Callithrix jacchus: one gene and its partners. The protein of the gene in region 2 binds, or shares a complex with, the protein of the main gene of each other region. Links are inferred from orthologs where the notes say so. Each region holds a gene or a part of one and is shown on either strand. Other genes may lie near its edges.

Region 1 (4,060 bases), on a different chromosome or scaffold from region 2:
TCCCTTTTCTGACTATCTTTAGCTAGGAAGCAACCCTCCCCGCCCTCTTTCCTGGATCCCCTTCATTCCCTCCTTCCACAGTCCACTCCCGGGTTCCCAGGTCCAGGGCTTATTTGCCTAGACTTTGGAAAACCCCCAGCTCTCCTTCCTCCTTTCTGCAGCGTGGGGGCAGGGTGCTGGTGTCAGTCACGTCTCTCTAGCTTCAGAAGAAGGCACTAGACTCAGTCGAGGTCGAGGTGGGGGGGGGGGTCCTGCCCATCTCCCTAGCACCTTATCGTCCCTACCGTCTGTCTTTTTTCCCTCCCCAAACGGAACCCCCGGCCCTCTCGCCTATAGACGTTTAATTGCAAAAGCCAGGCCGTTTGTGGGAGACCACAAGACATCGACCCCCTTCATTTACCGGTTGAGAAGAGAGTAAAGGGGCTGCTGCAACCTGGGTAATAACCCTGTCCCCACCCCAGGAGTCACATCCTTAAGCCTTCCTTCCCTCTTGTCCCAGGACAGCTTTCAAAACGTTAAAAGCCTTTCGGCTGGGTAGCATCTGACCAGGGAGGGTCGTCCCCTCTGGCTGCTCAGGGGCGTCTGTCACTTCAGAAAGGTTAAGTGACTTGCCCCAGGTCGCACAGCAGCAGTCCGATAGGCTGCCAGGGCACTAGGGGCAGAAGGAGGAGAGAGTTGGCATTTTTCCCATTGGCCCGCGTGGCTGTAGCACTGGGGTGCAGCGAAGCCCCAGGGCCACAACCCCTGAGCTCTGTTCAATCCCGGGCGGAGATGGGGGAGCGGCTGTAGGGTACTGGTTCCCGAATGGCTAGAAAAGCCTTGCCCAGCCCCTCCAGGTAGAGGGAATGAGAGGGAGAGAAGTTGGGACATGGTTCCGGTCCCGCGTGGAAACACCTGCGCTCGCGCCAGTGCTTTAAACGCCCAGATGAGGAAAGACGCACGCGGGCGAGGGCGGGGTTGGGTTTAGATCTGGTCACATGACCTGGCCTGAGGGGCTCGAGGCCCCCGCCCCACCAGAGGGCGTCCCCCACAACGCGTGGTCGACTCTCATTGGTCAGCGGTGAGGCCAATAGAAATCGGCCATCTGGGAACCCAGCGTTCCGAGGCGCAGCCTAACATGGTGAACCGATAAAGATCCAATGGAAAAAGACAATCGTGAGCGCAGACCAATGATAAAGTGTCAAGGGCGGGCCCAAGGGCTTGGTCAGGTTGGTTTGAGAGGCGGATGGGTATAAAGGTGCAAGGCGGGCGGCGGCGGCCGTCCGTACTGCAGAGCCGCTGCCCCAAAGTCGTTTTAAAGGGCCAGCGCGCCGCCGCCCCCTCGGCCCGCCATGCTGCTATCCGTGCCGCTGCTGCTCGGCCTCCTCGGCCTGGCTGCCGCCGAGCCCGCCATCTATTTCAAGGAGCAGTTTCTGGACGGAGGTAACGCCTGATTTCGCCTCGAGGCTGCCCCGCCGACGCGGCTGGCCCCCATCCCGGATCTGCGTTGTTGCCCGTAATTACTGCTTTGGGGACCAACATGGTGGCCTCCAGGGCCTAGAGCCGAGGGCTATTCCTCTTTTGCGTCCCTGGGGAGCGCAGAGGCGCAGCGGCCTCCCGCAGCGGGAGTTAGGGTTCGCCTGAGGATCTCTTAAGGCACCTGAGGTGTCAAACTAGAGGTTGGGGTGGGGAGAGTCGGGGATCTCCTTCCCTGTCCCCAGCAGTTTTTGATTCTCGGCAGATGTTTGGTGGTGGGGAATCGGCACAACCGCGTTGACCTCCCCCCTCTAACCTCCCACTTAGATGGGTGGACTTCCCGCTGGATCGAATCCAAACACAAGTCAGATTTTGGCAAATTTGCCCTCAGTTCCGGCAAGTTCTACGGTGACCAGGAGAAAGATAAAGGTAAGAGCCTAGGAGTGGGTGCTCTGATCCGGGAGGACTTCCTGGCAGAAGTCCTTGTCTGCACACAGCTGGGACAGTCCCCTAGGAGGAGAGCAGGTGGAGGAAAGGGGAGTCGTTTGTATTCTCTAGGTCTTGGGTCCTCGGGGGTCAGGGCCCAACGGTGACCTCACTGCTATTCCGTTTCAGGTTTGCAGACAAGCCAGGATGCACGCTTTTATGCTCTATCGGCCAGTTTTGAGCCCTTTAGCAACAAAGGGCAGACACTAGTGGTGCAGTTCACGGTGAAACATGAGCAGAACATCGACTGTGGGGGCGGCTATGTGAAGCTGTTTCCTAGTAGTTTGGACCAGACGGACATGCACGGAGACTCAGAATACAACATCATGTTCGGTGAGGGGCTGGTTCCTGGTGCTGATCTCTGTCCCATTAGTTGGAGGGAGACTCAGACCCCATTGAGTTCCTTACATCCCAGAAAAGTGATTTTTGAGAGGATGGAAAGCATTTACTAATCATGATTTTCTTTGGAAGGAGAGCTAAAAGAATAGGTCACAGTTAGCAACAATTTATTGCCTTATCCCAGATCTAGGCTGTTAATTTAATTTGTATGATTGTATATAGTTACTTCCCAATCTTACAAATGAGGATGTTGAGTTCTAGAACGCTCATTTTTTTTCTTTAAACTTGAGGCTCCAGCCACAGTTCATTCAGGACAGCATCAAGGTCTGAGTCCCTCTTTTTAGCCTTGACAGACCAAGTTTAAGAACCAGGTTTTCCTTTTGTAAAGAGGGGAGAGGGCCTTGAAATGGTGGGTAGTCTCTGACTCTTAACTGGATGTGTTTCCCACCTAGGTCCTGACATCTGTGGCCCTGGCACCAAGAAGGTTCATGTCATCTTCAACTACAAGGGCAAGAACGTGCTGATCAACAAGGACATCCGTTGCAAGGTGTGCCTGGGGGTGGTGGTGGCAAATGATGGCTGTCATGGGAAGTTCAGAGGTCGGTCTGATTGCGGGGGGCCCCACTCACCTCCTTCCTTCTTCAGGATGATGAGTTTACACACCTGTACACACTGATTGTGCGACCGGACAATACCTACGAGGTGAAGATCGACAACAGCCAGGTGGAGTCGGGGTCCTTGGAGGACGATTGGGACTTTCTGCCACCCAAGAAGATAAAGGATCCTGCTGCTTCAAAACCGGAAGACTGGGATGAGCGGGCCAAGATCGATGATCCCACAGACTCCAAGCCTGAGGTAGGTGTTTGGGGAGGGGCTCTGCTTTCCACACTGGAGCGTGTGTAGGACAGCTGGGCCAACTCTGACCTCTTCTACACCCCAGGACTGGGACAAGCCTGAGCATATTCCTGACCCTGATGCCAAGAAGCCTGAGGACTGGGATGAAGAGATGGATGGAGAGTGGGAACCCCCAGTGATTCAGAACCCTGAGTACAAGGTGAGTTTGGGGTTCTGAGCAGGGCTGGAGCTCACAGTGGGGAGTCCACCAACCTCACTCACCCTCTGGTTCTTTTCTCCCTTATGCCTTCTGCAGGGTGAGTGGAAGCCCCGACAGATCGACAACCCAGATTACAAGGGCACTTGGATCCACCCAGAAATTGACAATCCCGAGTATTCCCCTGATCCCAATATCTATGCCTATGATAACTTTGGTGTGCTGGGCCTGGACCTCTGGCAGGTGAGACTTGGAGGGAAAAGGAGGATCCCTGGGGTACCTCGAGAGCTTACCATCACCCAGGAGGAAAGGGACAGGGTAGGATCACACCCCAGGAAGGTCTGACTCAAGATGGTACTTCTCTAAACAGTACTTCCTGGTCTGTCCTTATGGAGTCCTCACAGCAGCCCCTTTGAGGTTGTACTTTTTGTGCACCAAGTACTTCCCCTAGTACTTTTATGCAAATCAACTTCTTTAAATACCCCTAAAAAGCTAGAAGGTGGTCAGGTAACACAGAAAGTTTGGGGCTGGGCGCAGTGGCTCACCCTTGTAATCACAGTACTTTAGGAGGCTGAGGAAGGAGGATTGCTTAAGGCTAGGAGTTTGACAACTCAACCTTGCTTGGCAACATAGTGAGGCAACCTCATCTCTACACAAATTTTAAAATTAGCCAGATGTGATGCATACCTGTTATCCCAACTATCTAGGAAGAAAGAGGATCACTTGAGC
Region 2 (4,121 bases):
AGGTTCAAGCAATTCTCCTGCCTCAGCCTCCCGATTAACTAGGACTATAGGCTAATTTTTGTATTTTTAGTAGAGATGGGGTTTCGCCATATTGACCAGAAGAGGTGGCTCATGCCTGTATTCCCAGCTACCTGGGAGGGCAGAGGTTGCAATGAGCTGAGATCATGCCACTGCACTCCAGCCTGAGCCACAAGAGCAAGACTCCATCTCAAAAACAAAAAAGGAAATTAGTCCTGATACACACTATAACGTGATGCATCGACCTTGAAAACAACATGGTAAGCAAAATTAGCCAGACACAAAAAGCCAAGTATTCTACAGCATATGAAAAGGATGGACAAGATAAAGATCTAACATTGAAAATCATCTCTGAGTGGTGGCACTATGGGTAAGTTTCTTCCTTTTCTGACTTATCTGTATTTTTTATAACGAATCTGTAGCTTCTGTAGTAAAAAAAAATAATGGAAATCTTTAGAAAAATAAATCATTTTGGCTAAAAACTTCACTGCCTATTACATCACGGGTATTTCACCATGTTACTGAAGCTGAACTGATACCATGTGAGACAGATGCTGTTTCTTTCATCCTGCAGGTGAGAATAAACTGAGGAGAACAGTTGAGTGACTTGCCAAAGTTGTATAACTAGTAAATGACAAAGCAAGAATTACGATTCAGGCCTAGTTCTAACTTCGAGTCAGGATCCTTTCCCATTTCATTACAACTCAAAGACTGCAATATTACTCATGATATAGTTTAAAAAAATAATAACCTTGGGCAAGTAAGTCACTTAAAAAGTGAAGGGGTTCAAGAAAAGATATTCCAACTCTAACAGCCTCTCTTGCTTCTGCATCTTAAATCTAGAACACATTCCATTTTGTGGAAACAGATTCCAATCAAAAGAAAACCCTGCGTTTTCTTTAAAGGGGACAGAATGAATGGTTGAAGAGAAGTTGAGGCCTATGCTCTGGGCCAAAGGCCATTCTTAATGGAAACAGGTGGTGGATTGTCATGAGGAAAGAACCGCTAGGGGAACCATGATCTTCCTGGTTAAAGCAACAGCTGAAAGCTCCAGCTTTGCTTTACCAACAGCGCTGCTTCAATCTTGGCTAACTCATGATCAGAAACCACATACTAGGTAAGTAAAGCTAGACGAAAGAAGAAAATCACCGTAGCAACAGTTTGTGCATGCTATTGTAACTCTGTAATTTTCTGAGTGGACTCATTAATGCTAAAACAGAAAGGTTGATTTCTAAATGGAGACGCCTTCATTCTCACCAAGGATGAATGGGGAAGCTGAAACTTCCATAGCACTCGGAGAAAAGCTACACTTGTGGGAAAGGGGAAAGCATCCAATTAAAGCCTTCCCAATTCACGGAGAATCAAAGACAGTGAAAAGACCTTTAAAAGATGAAGTCCCAGCCGGACGCCAGTACTTCGGAAGGTAGAGACGGGCGGATCACCTGAGGTCAGGAGTTTGAGACCAGCCTGACCAACATGGAGAAACCCCTGTTTCTACCAAAAATACAAAAATGTTCCAGCTACTCGGGAGGCTGAGGCAGGAGAATCGCTTGAACCCAGGAGGCGGAGGCTGCGGTGAGCCGAAATGGAGCCATTGCACTCCAGCCTGGGCAACAAGAGCGAAACTCCGCCTCAAAAGAAAAAAAAAAAAAAGGTGAAGTTCCTGTAAAAGATACATTGGGTATTTGTAACCTCTTACAATGTACACATTATAAAGTATTTCATGCTCTTTAAAACTGTTATACAGCCTTTTTGCTCGAAGGTAATAAACCTACAGCATTAACTCTCCTGGCGAGAAAGATTCTATTTTGTGGAAACAAATTCCGACCAAAATCTCACCACATTCCCCTCAACTATGGGTATGAGCCTGAACCAGTAAGAAGCTCCTTGGAGCATGTGCAATGGTCTCGGAGAATTAAAACAACATCCTGCCCGGAGGACCACAACCAAGACACCACTGGCTTTAAATTCAAAGCCTACACCACCGGCTTTAAATTCAAAGCCTGGTCCCTAGCGAAGAAAGCGCTTAATGTGCTCCCCGCGCTTCCCGGTGCGAGATTCCTGCCCAACAACTAGGCCACGACTGGGTGAGCACCTGATGCGGGGGGAGGGCGAGCCAAGGCCTTAGCGGATCTGGAGCGAGTAACGAGGGGCTCTCGAAGCTCCGGAAAAGCGCTGCCTTCTACAGGCAGGGGCCCTTCGGCACCCCCAGGGTGGACACCAAGAACACGTGAGGCGACAGGGGCAGAGATGAGGTATCCCGGGCAGGTAGCCTGGGTCCAGCACCGCAGCCAAAAAGAAGAGGGAAAAGACGGTGGCCCTGGGCAAGACACAAGGCCTCTGAGCTCAGAGGGTGAAGGTAAAGGGCGCGGGGAAGGAAGCCAGGCCACGAGGAGGGCGGGTCTCCCTGAGCGCTGAGGCACGCGCCAGGCAAGCGCGACAGGACCCGGGGACCCCGGGACCCCGACATGCGGGAGGAGATCGCAGCCCTGCCCCGGGGCGCAGGGAACAAGGAGCGGCCGCGCCAGGCGAGCGCTGTGACCCGCGGCCTCCAGAACCGGACCCGCCCCGTGGCGCCTCCCTCTTGCCTTCTTTCCCTCCCTCCCTCCTTCCCGCGGCCCGTTATCCTGCGGCCGCAGCACTCACCAGCGGCTGCACCTGAGCCCGCCGCTACCTCAGCTGCTGCCTGAGCCTCCGCAGCCGCCGCCTCGCTGCTGAGGCTGAGTCCCCGGGGAGCCTCCGCGTCCCGCCGCCGCTGCCGTCGCTGCCGCCAGAGCAGAACACCCCAAAATGGCGGCACTTCCGGCACCTACCACCGGCGGGGAGGGCCGAAGAGGAGGGGGAGCTCGGCTAGGGGGAACGTATCACCGCGGCGCCGCCCGCAGCGTAGATGCGAGCGGAACGCGGCGTAGGGGCGGGCCGAGCGCCGGACGCTGCAGCGCCCCCTCGGGCTGGGGAGTGGAGGAGCAGCCGCGCCTAAGCCCCTGGGGCCGCGGGCGGAGCCCTCAGCGGTGGGAGCTGCGGGGGCGCATCTCTTTGTCTTCTAGCCCTACTGGAGGGAAGAGAAGGGCCTGGGATTCCGAAGTTCTCGACTCCGCCCACCGCACTCACAGGAGCTCTAGATGACCCTGGTCGGCAAGGAGGCACCCCTACTGGGCACTGAATATGAGCATAATAAGATATTTGTTGAATAAATGGATGAGTGAAGGAGTGAATGGTGCTCGGCCAGCGCCGGACACATGGCACGCCCCTTTTTGCCCAGCAGACAAGCAACAGCATCCAGGCCTTCCTTCTTTGCTGGGATGTGGATATGTGTGTTGCAAGTTCAGGGAGAGCCTTTTAGCAAGATAATCAGTGTGAAGGCACAATCTGGCAACGATCACTGCGACACCAGGAAGTTCACAAGGATTCTATTAAGAGAATGATTGCTCAGCCATAACCTGCTTTTCCCAGGAAAAAAAAAAAAATTTTTTTTTTTTTTTTTTTTTTGAGACGGAGTTTCGCCCTTGTTACCCAGGCTGGAGTGCAATGTCGCGATCTCGGCTCACTGCAACCTCCGCCTCCTGGGTTCAGGCAATTCTCCTGCCTCAGCCTCCTGAGCAGCTGGGATTACAGGCATGCACCACCATGCCCAGCTAATTTTTTGTATTTTTAGTACAGACGGGGTTTCACCATGTTGACCAGGATGGTCTCGTTCTCTTGACGTTGTGATCCACCAGCCTCGGCCTCCCAAAGTGCTGGGATTACAGGCTTGAGCCACCGCGCCCGACCAGAAACATTTTTTTTTAACAACTCACTTGTTCGGAGTTACTCAGGAATCCCTGGGTCTAGATAGAACGCAAACAGTACATTTTGTTATTGTTTAAGCAAACATTTATTCTGTAGGTTCCAGACCTTGTGAGGTAGTTAAATGTAGATTAAGAAAAAAAACTTTGTTCTGGAAGCTTCTGGCCCCATCGACATGCAAATAACTCATGGGATGGTTTCTCTGTAACATCATCTGGCTTCCCAGAGAATATAGTTTTTATACCCACAAATACTGATTATACCCTACCTTACCACAAACAACAAATGGGCTTCCAAGTGGAAGCCTCAAGAGTTTT
Region 3 (4,072 bases), on a different chromosome or scaffold from region 2:
TTTTTTTTTTGAGACGGAGTTTTGCTGTTGTTACCCAGACTGGAGTGCAATGGCGCGATCTCAGCTTACCGCAACCTCCGCCTTCTGGGTTCAAGCAATTCTCCTGCCTCAGCCTCCTGCGTAGCTGGGACTACAGGTGTGCACCACCACGCCCAGCTAATTTTTGTATTTTTAGTAGAGAAGGGGTTTCACCTCATTGATCAGGATGGTCTCAATCTCTTGACCTCATGATCCACCCGCCTCGGCCTCCCAAACTGCTGAGATTATAGGTGTGAGCCACCACACCCGGCCCCATATTTTTCTTTTTCTTTTTTTTTTTTTGTGAGACGGAGTTTCGCTCTTGTTACCCAGGCTGCAGTGCAATGGCACAATCTCAGCTCATCGCAACCTCTGCCTCCTGGGTTCAAGCAATTCTCCTGCCTCAGCCTCCTGAGTAGCTGGGATTACAGGCGCGCACCACCATGCCCAGCTAATTTTTGTATTTTTAGTAGAGACGGGGTTTCACCATGTTGACCAGGATGGTCTCGATCTCTTGACCTCGTGATCCACCCGCCTTGGCCTCCCAAAGTGCTGGGATTACAGGCGTGAGCCACCGCACCCGGCCCCATATTTTTCTTTTTAATGCAAACATTAAAATGAGAGGAGGAGCCCACTTTTCCCTCTGAGGGGAACAGCCCTTGATCCCCATGTGCACTTGACTAGCATCTTTTAAGAGGGGCAATTTTGGTAATGGATACTCATAACACATTTTTTTTTTTTAAGATGGAGTCTTGGCCTGTCACCAGGCTGGAGTGCAGTGGTGCAATCTGGGCTCACTGCAACCTCCACCTCCTGGGTTCAAGCAATTCTCCTGCCTCAGCCTCCCGAGTAGCTGGGACTATAGGTGTGTGCCACCATGCCTTGCTAATTTTTTCTATTTTAGTAGAGACAGGGTTTCACCACATTGGCCAGAATGTTCTCCATTTCCTGACCTTGTGATCCACTCACCTCAGCCTCCCAAAGTGCTGGAATTACAGGCGTGAGCCACCATGTCTGGCCAACACATTTATATAAATATAATCCAAAGGTTAAACACCATTGAATATGTGACAGTGCTTCTTGTATGATTTTATTTATTTATTTTTTTGAGACGGAGTTTCTTTCGTTACCCAGTCTGGAGTGCAATGGCACGATCTTGGCTCACCGCAACCTCCGCCTTCTGGGTTCAAGCAATTCTCCTGCCTCAGCCTCCCGAGTAGCTGGGACTACAGGTGTGCACCACCATGCCCAGCTAATTTTTGTATTTTTAGTAGAGACGGGGTTTCACCTTGTTGACCAGGATGGTCTTGATCTGTTGACCTCATGATCCACCTGCCTCGGCCTCCCAAAGTGCTGGGATTACAGGCGTGAGCCACCGTGCCCGGCCTCTTGTATGATTTTATTATGCCAAATAAGCTGAATATGTCTCCTTGGACTTCAGGGGACCTAATACCAATAAAATAATAGTAATAGTAATAATAATAATAGGCCAAGCACCTTGGCTCACGTTTATAATCCCAGCACTTTGGGAGGCTAAGGGGAGGATCACTTGAGGCCAGGAGTTTGAGAGCAGCCTGGGTAACATGATGAAACCCTGTCTCTAAAAAAATTAGCCTGAAACAGGCATGGTGGTGCATGCCTGTAATCCCAGCTCCTAGGGAGCCTGAAACAGGAGAATTGCTTGAATCCTGCCGGTGGTTTGAGTGAGCCAAAATCGTACCACTGCACTCCAGCCTGGGAAACAGAGACGGACTCCTGCTTTAAAAAAAAAAAAAAAAGGAGCAATCTTCGGCAATAAAGAGAGAGGAGGCCAGGTGTGGTGACTCACACCTGTAATCCCAGCTCTTTGAGAGGCTAAGGCAGGTGGATCACAAGATCAGGAGTTCGAGATTAGCCTGGCCAACATGGTGAAACCCCTTCTGTACTAAAAATACAAAAATTAGCTGGGTGTGCTGGCGTTCGCCTGTAGGCCCAGCTACTCAGGAGGCTGAGACAGGAGAATTGCTCAAACCTGGGAGGCGCAGGTTGCAGTGAGCCAAGATCATGCCACTGCACTCCAGCCTGGGCAACAGAACAAGACTCTGTCTCAAAAAAAAAAAAAAGAAAAAGAAAGAGAAAGAAAGAAAGGAAAAGAAATGAAAAGAAAGAAAGAAAGAAGGAAAAGAAAAGAAAAGAAAGGAGAGAGAAAACAACAACAAAAGATAAGGAAGCCTTGCCTTAAAGTCTATGCCTTAAGGTCTTCATGTGTAAAATGGGAATAAAAGCTTTTGGCTGTGCCGTAACTACCTTGAAAGGTTGCTATGGAAAATGTAACATTAGGCTCGATTTGGTCCTGATTCTACACTAACCTTTATCTTTCTCTTTATGACCATAAAAGTTCCCCGACGAGACTCTAAAATGCCCAAAACGGGAGTCATTGGTGGACTGCACCCATCGGTTTCTCCAGTGCTCTGTGGGGAGGGGAAATAACACCGGTTAGAGCTGATAACAGTTAATTTGCGTCGAGGGAAAGGTGAGGGGGACCCTCGAATAATTGAGGGTTCGCTGCCATCGACCCCGCGGCGACTCTGGCCAGCCCTAGAGGGGAGGAGATAGGGGAGCTTACACCCTTGCCACCACGGGCGTCACCCCTTCACCTCCGTCTAGAAATTCCTCTTGGAAATAAACGGTAGCCAGCGCCACCCGCAGCAAGCAGATGGCCCAGAGTGGGACCGGAGCCCCGGCCATGGGGGCGTGCACTACGCTTCCTGGCGCCACCGCCCCTTCGCTTCCGGCGGTCTCTGCGGCTCTTCAGGCGCGCCCCGAAACTACCACTCCTGTCACGTCTCGTGATTATGACCTGAGGTCTCATAGGTCGCTGCGGCGCGGGGCACGTCGGGCCCGTCCCGGAACTACCACTCCCATGATGCCCCGCGATTGTGATTCGGGGTGCCATTGGTCCCCGGGACGCTGTGCTTCCCGGGAGTTGTAGTCCCTTCTGGCTCTGTTGCTCAGGGCAACTGCTCTCTCAGGCCTGAATGTGGTGGCAGTCTCTGCGAATGGACACACTGGGAGGAGGTCGGCAGGGCTGGTGGGGAGGTGACGCGGCTGAGCGCATGGGCTCGCGAGAGGAGATACGGGGAAGTCGGGCTTGCTCTGGAGGTGAGCTGGTCGGGAGGCTGCAGGGTGGTCCCGCGCCTCAGTTTCCCTGTCTGAGGTCTGTTGAGTTCAGTGCGGGTCGCTTCATAGCAGGGGAGAAGAGCAGGATGGTCTGAGGGGCGCCAGGGTTTTCAAATTTTGGTTTGTTGATTTTTAACAACTTTATTGAGCTACAGTTTGCATACCATAGTGTTTACCACTTTTAAGCTGACGACTCGGTTATTTTTAGTAAGTCTTCAAAGTTGTGAAGCCGTCGCCACCATTCAGCTCATCCAGCTTTAGAACTCTGCAGCAGGCTGGGCGCGGTGGCTCCTGCCTGGAATCCCAGCACTTTGAGAGGCAGAGGCGGAACAGTCACTTGAGGCCAGGAGATTCAGAGTAGCCTAGGCAACATGGCGAGACCCCATCTCTAAAAAAGATAAAAATAAATAATTAGCCAGGTGCAGTGGTACATGCCTGTAGTCCCAGCTACTCGGCATGTGGAGTCGGGAGGGAAGATTGCCTGTGTCTAGGAGGTCGAGGCTGCTGTGAGCTGTGATCAGGCCACTGCCCTCCAGCCTGGGTGGCAGAGCAAGACCCCTACTCAAAACAAAACAAAACAAAAAACAAAACTAAACTTTCTATTACCCAAGGAGATTGCTTCGTTCCTTTGCAATCTGTCCTCACTCACACCCACAGTTCCAGGGAACCGCTCATCTGCCTTCCTTTTTTTTGTTTGTTTGAGGTCTCACTCTGTCGCCCAGGCTAGAGTGCAATGGCACGATCTCAGCTCACTGCAACCTTCGTCTCCCAGTTTCAAGGATTCTCCTGCCTCAGCCTCCCGAATAGCTGGGATTACAGGCGCACACCACCATGCTCAACTAATCTTTGTATTTTTAGTAGAGATGGTGTTTCACCATGTTTGCCAGGCTGGTCT

Evidence for each region.
Region 1: CELF1 (region 2) and CALR share a complex: the UniProt entries of both Homo sapiens proteins name them as parts of the EIF2 complex. The link is inferred for Callithrix jacchus from reciprocal best matches to the Homo sapiens genes CELF1 and CALR.
Region 3: CELF1 (region 2) and CALR3 share a complex: the UniProt entries of both Homo sapiens proteins name them as parts of the EIF2 complex. The link is inferred for Callithrix jacchus from reciprocal best matches to the Homo sapiens genes CELF1 and CALR3.

Annotation. Positions count from the first base shown.
Region 1 is NC_133523.1:11,760,859-11,764,918, forward strand, and holds the start of CALR (calreticulin), read left to right. Parts: upstream 1-1,260; 5' UTR 1,261-1,331; coding exon 1,332-1,422; intron 1,423-1,782; coding exon 1,783-1,884; intron 1,885-2,070; coding exon 2,071-2,274; intron 2,275-2,732; coding exon 2,733-2,827; intron 2,828-2,925; coding exon 2,926-3,135; intron 3,136-3,220; coding exon 3,221-3,334; intron 3,335-3,430; coding exon 3,431-3,574; intron 3,575-4,060. UniProt on the Homo sapiens protein: Calcium-binding chaperone that promotes folding, oligomeric assembly and quality control in the endoplasmic reticulum (ER) via the calreticulin/calnexin cycle.
Region 2 is NC_133511.1:112,605,707-112,609,827, forward strand, and holds the start of CELF1 (CUGBP Elav-like family member 1), read right to left. Parts: upstream 2,801-4,121; 5' UTR 2,665-2,800; intron 1-2,664. UniProt on the Homo sapiens protein: RNA-binding protein implicated in the regulation of several post-transcriptional events. Involved in pre-mRNA alternative splicing, mRNA translation and stability.
Region 3 is NC_133523.1:15,116,076-15,120,147, forward strand, and holds the start of CALR3 (calreticulin-3), read right to left. Parts: upstream 2,801-4,072; 5' UTR 2,746-2,800; coding exon 2,655-2,745; intron 2,469-2,654; coding exon 2,367-2,468; intron 1-2,366. UniProt on the Homo sapiens protein: During spermatogenesis, may act as a lectin-independent chaperone for specific client proteins such as ADAM3. Required for sperm fertility. CALR3 capacity for calcium-binding may be absent or much lower than that of CALR.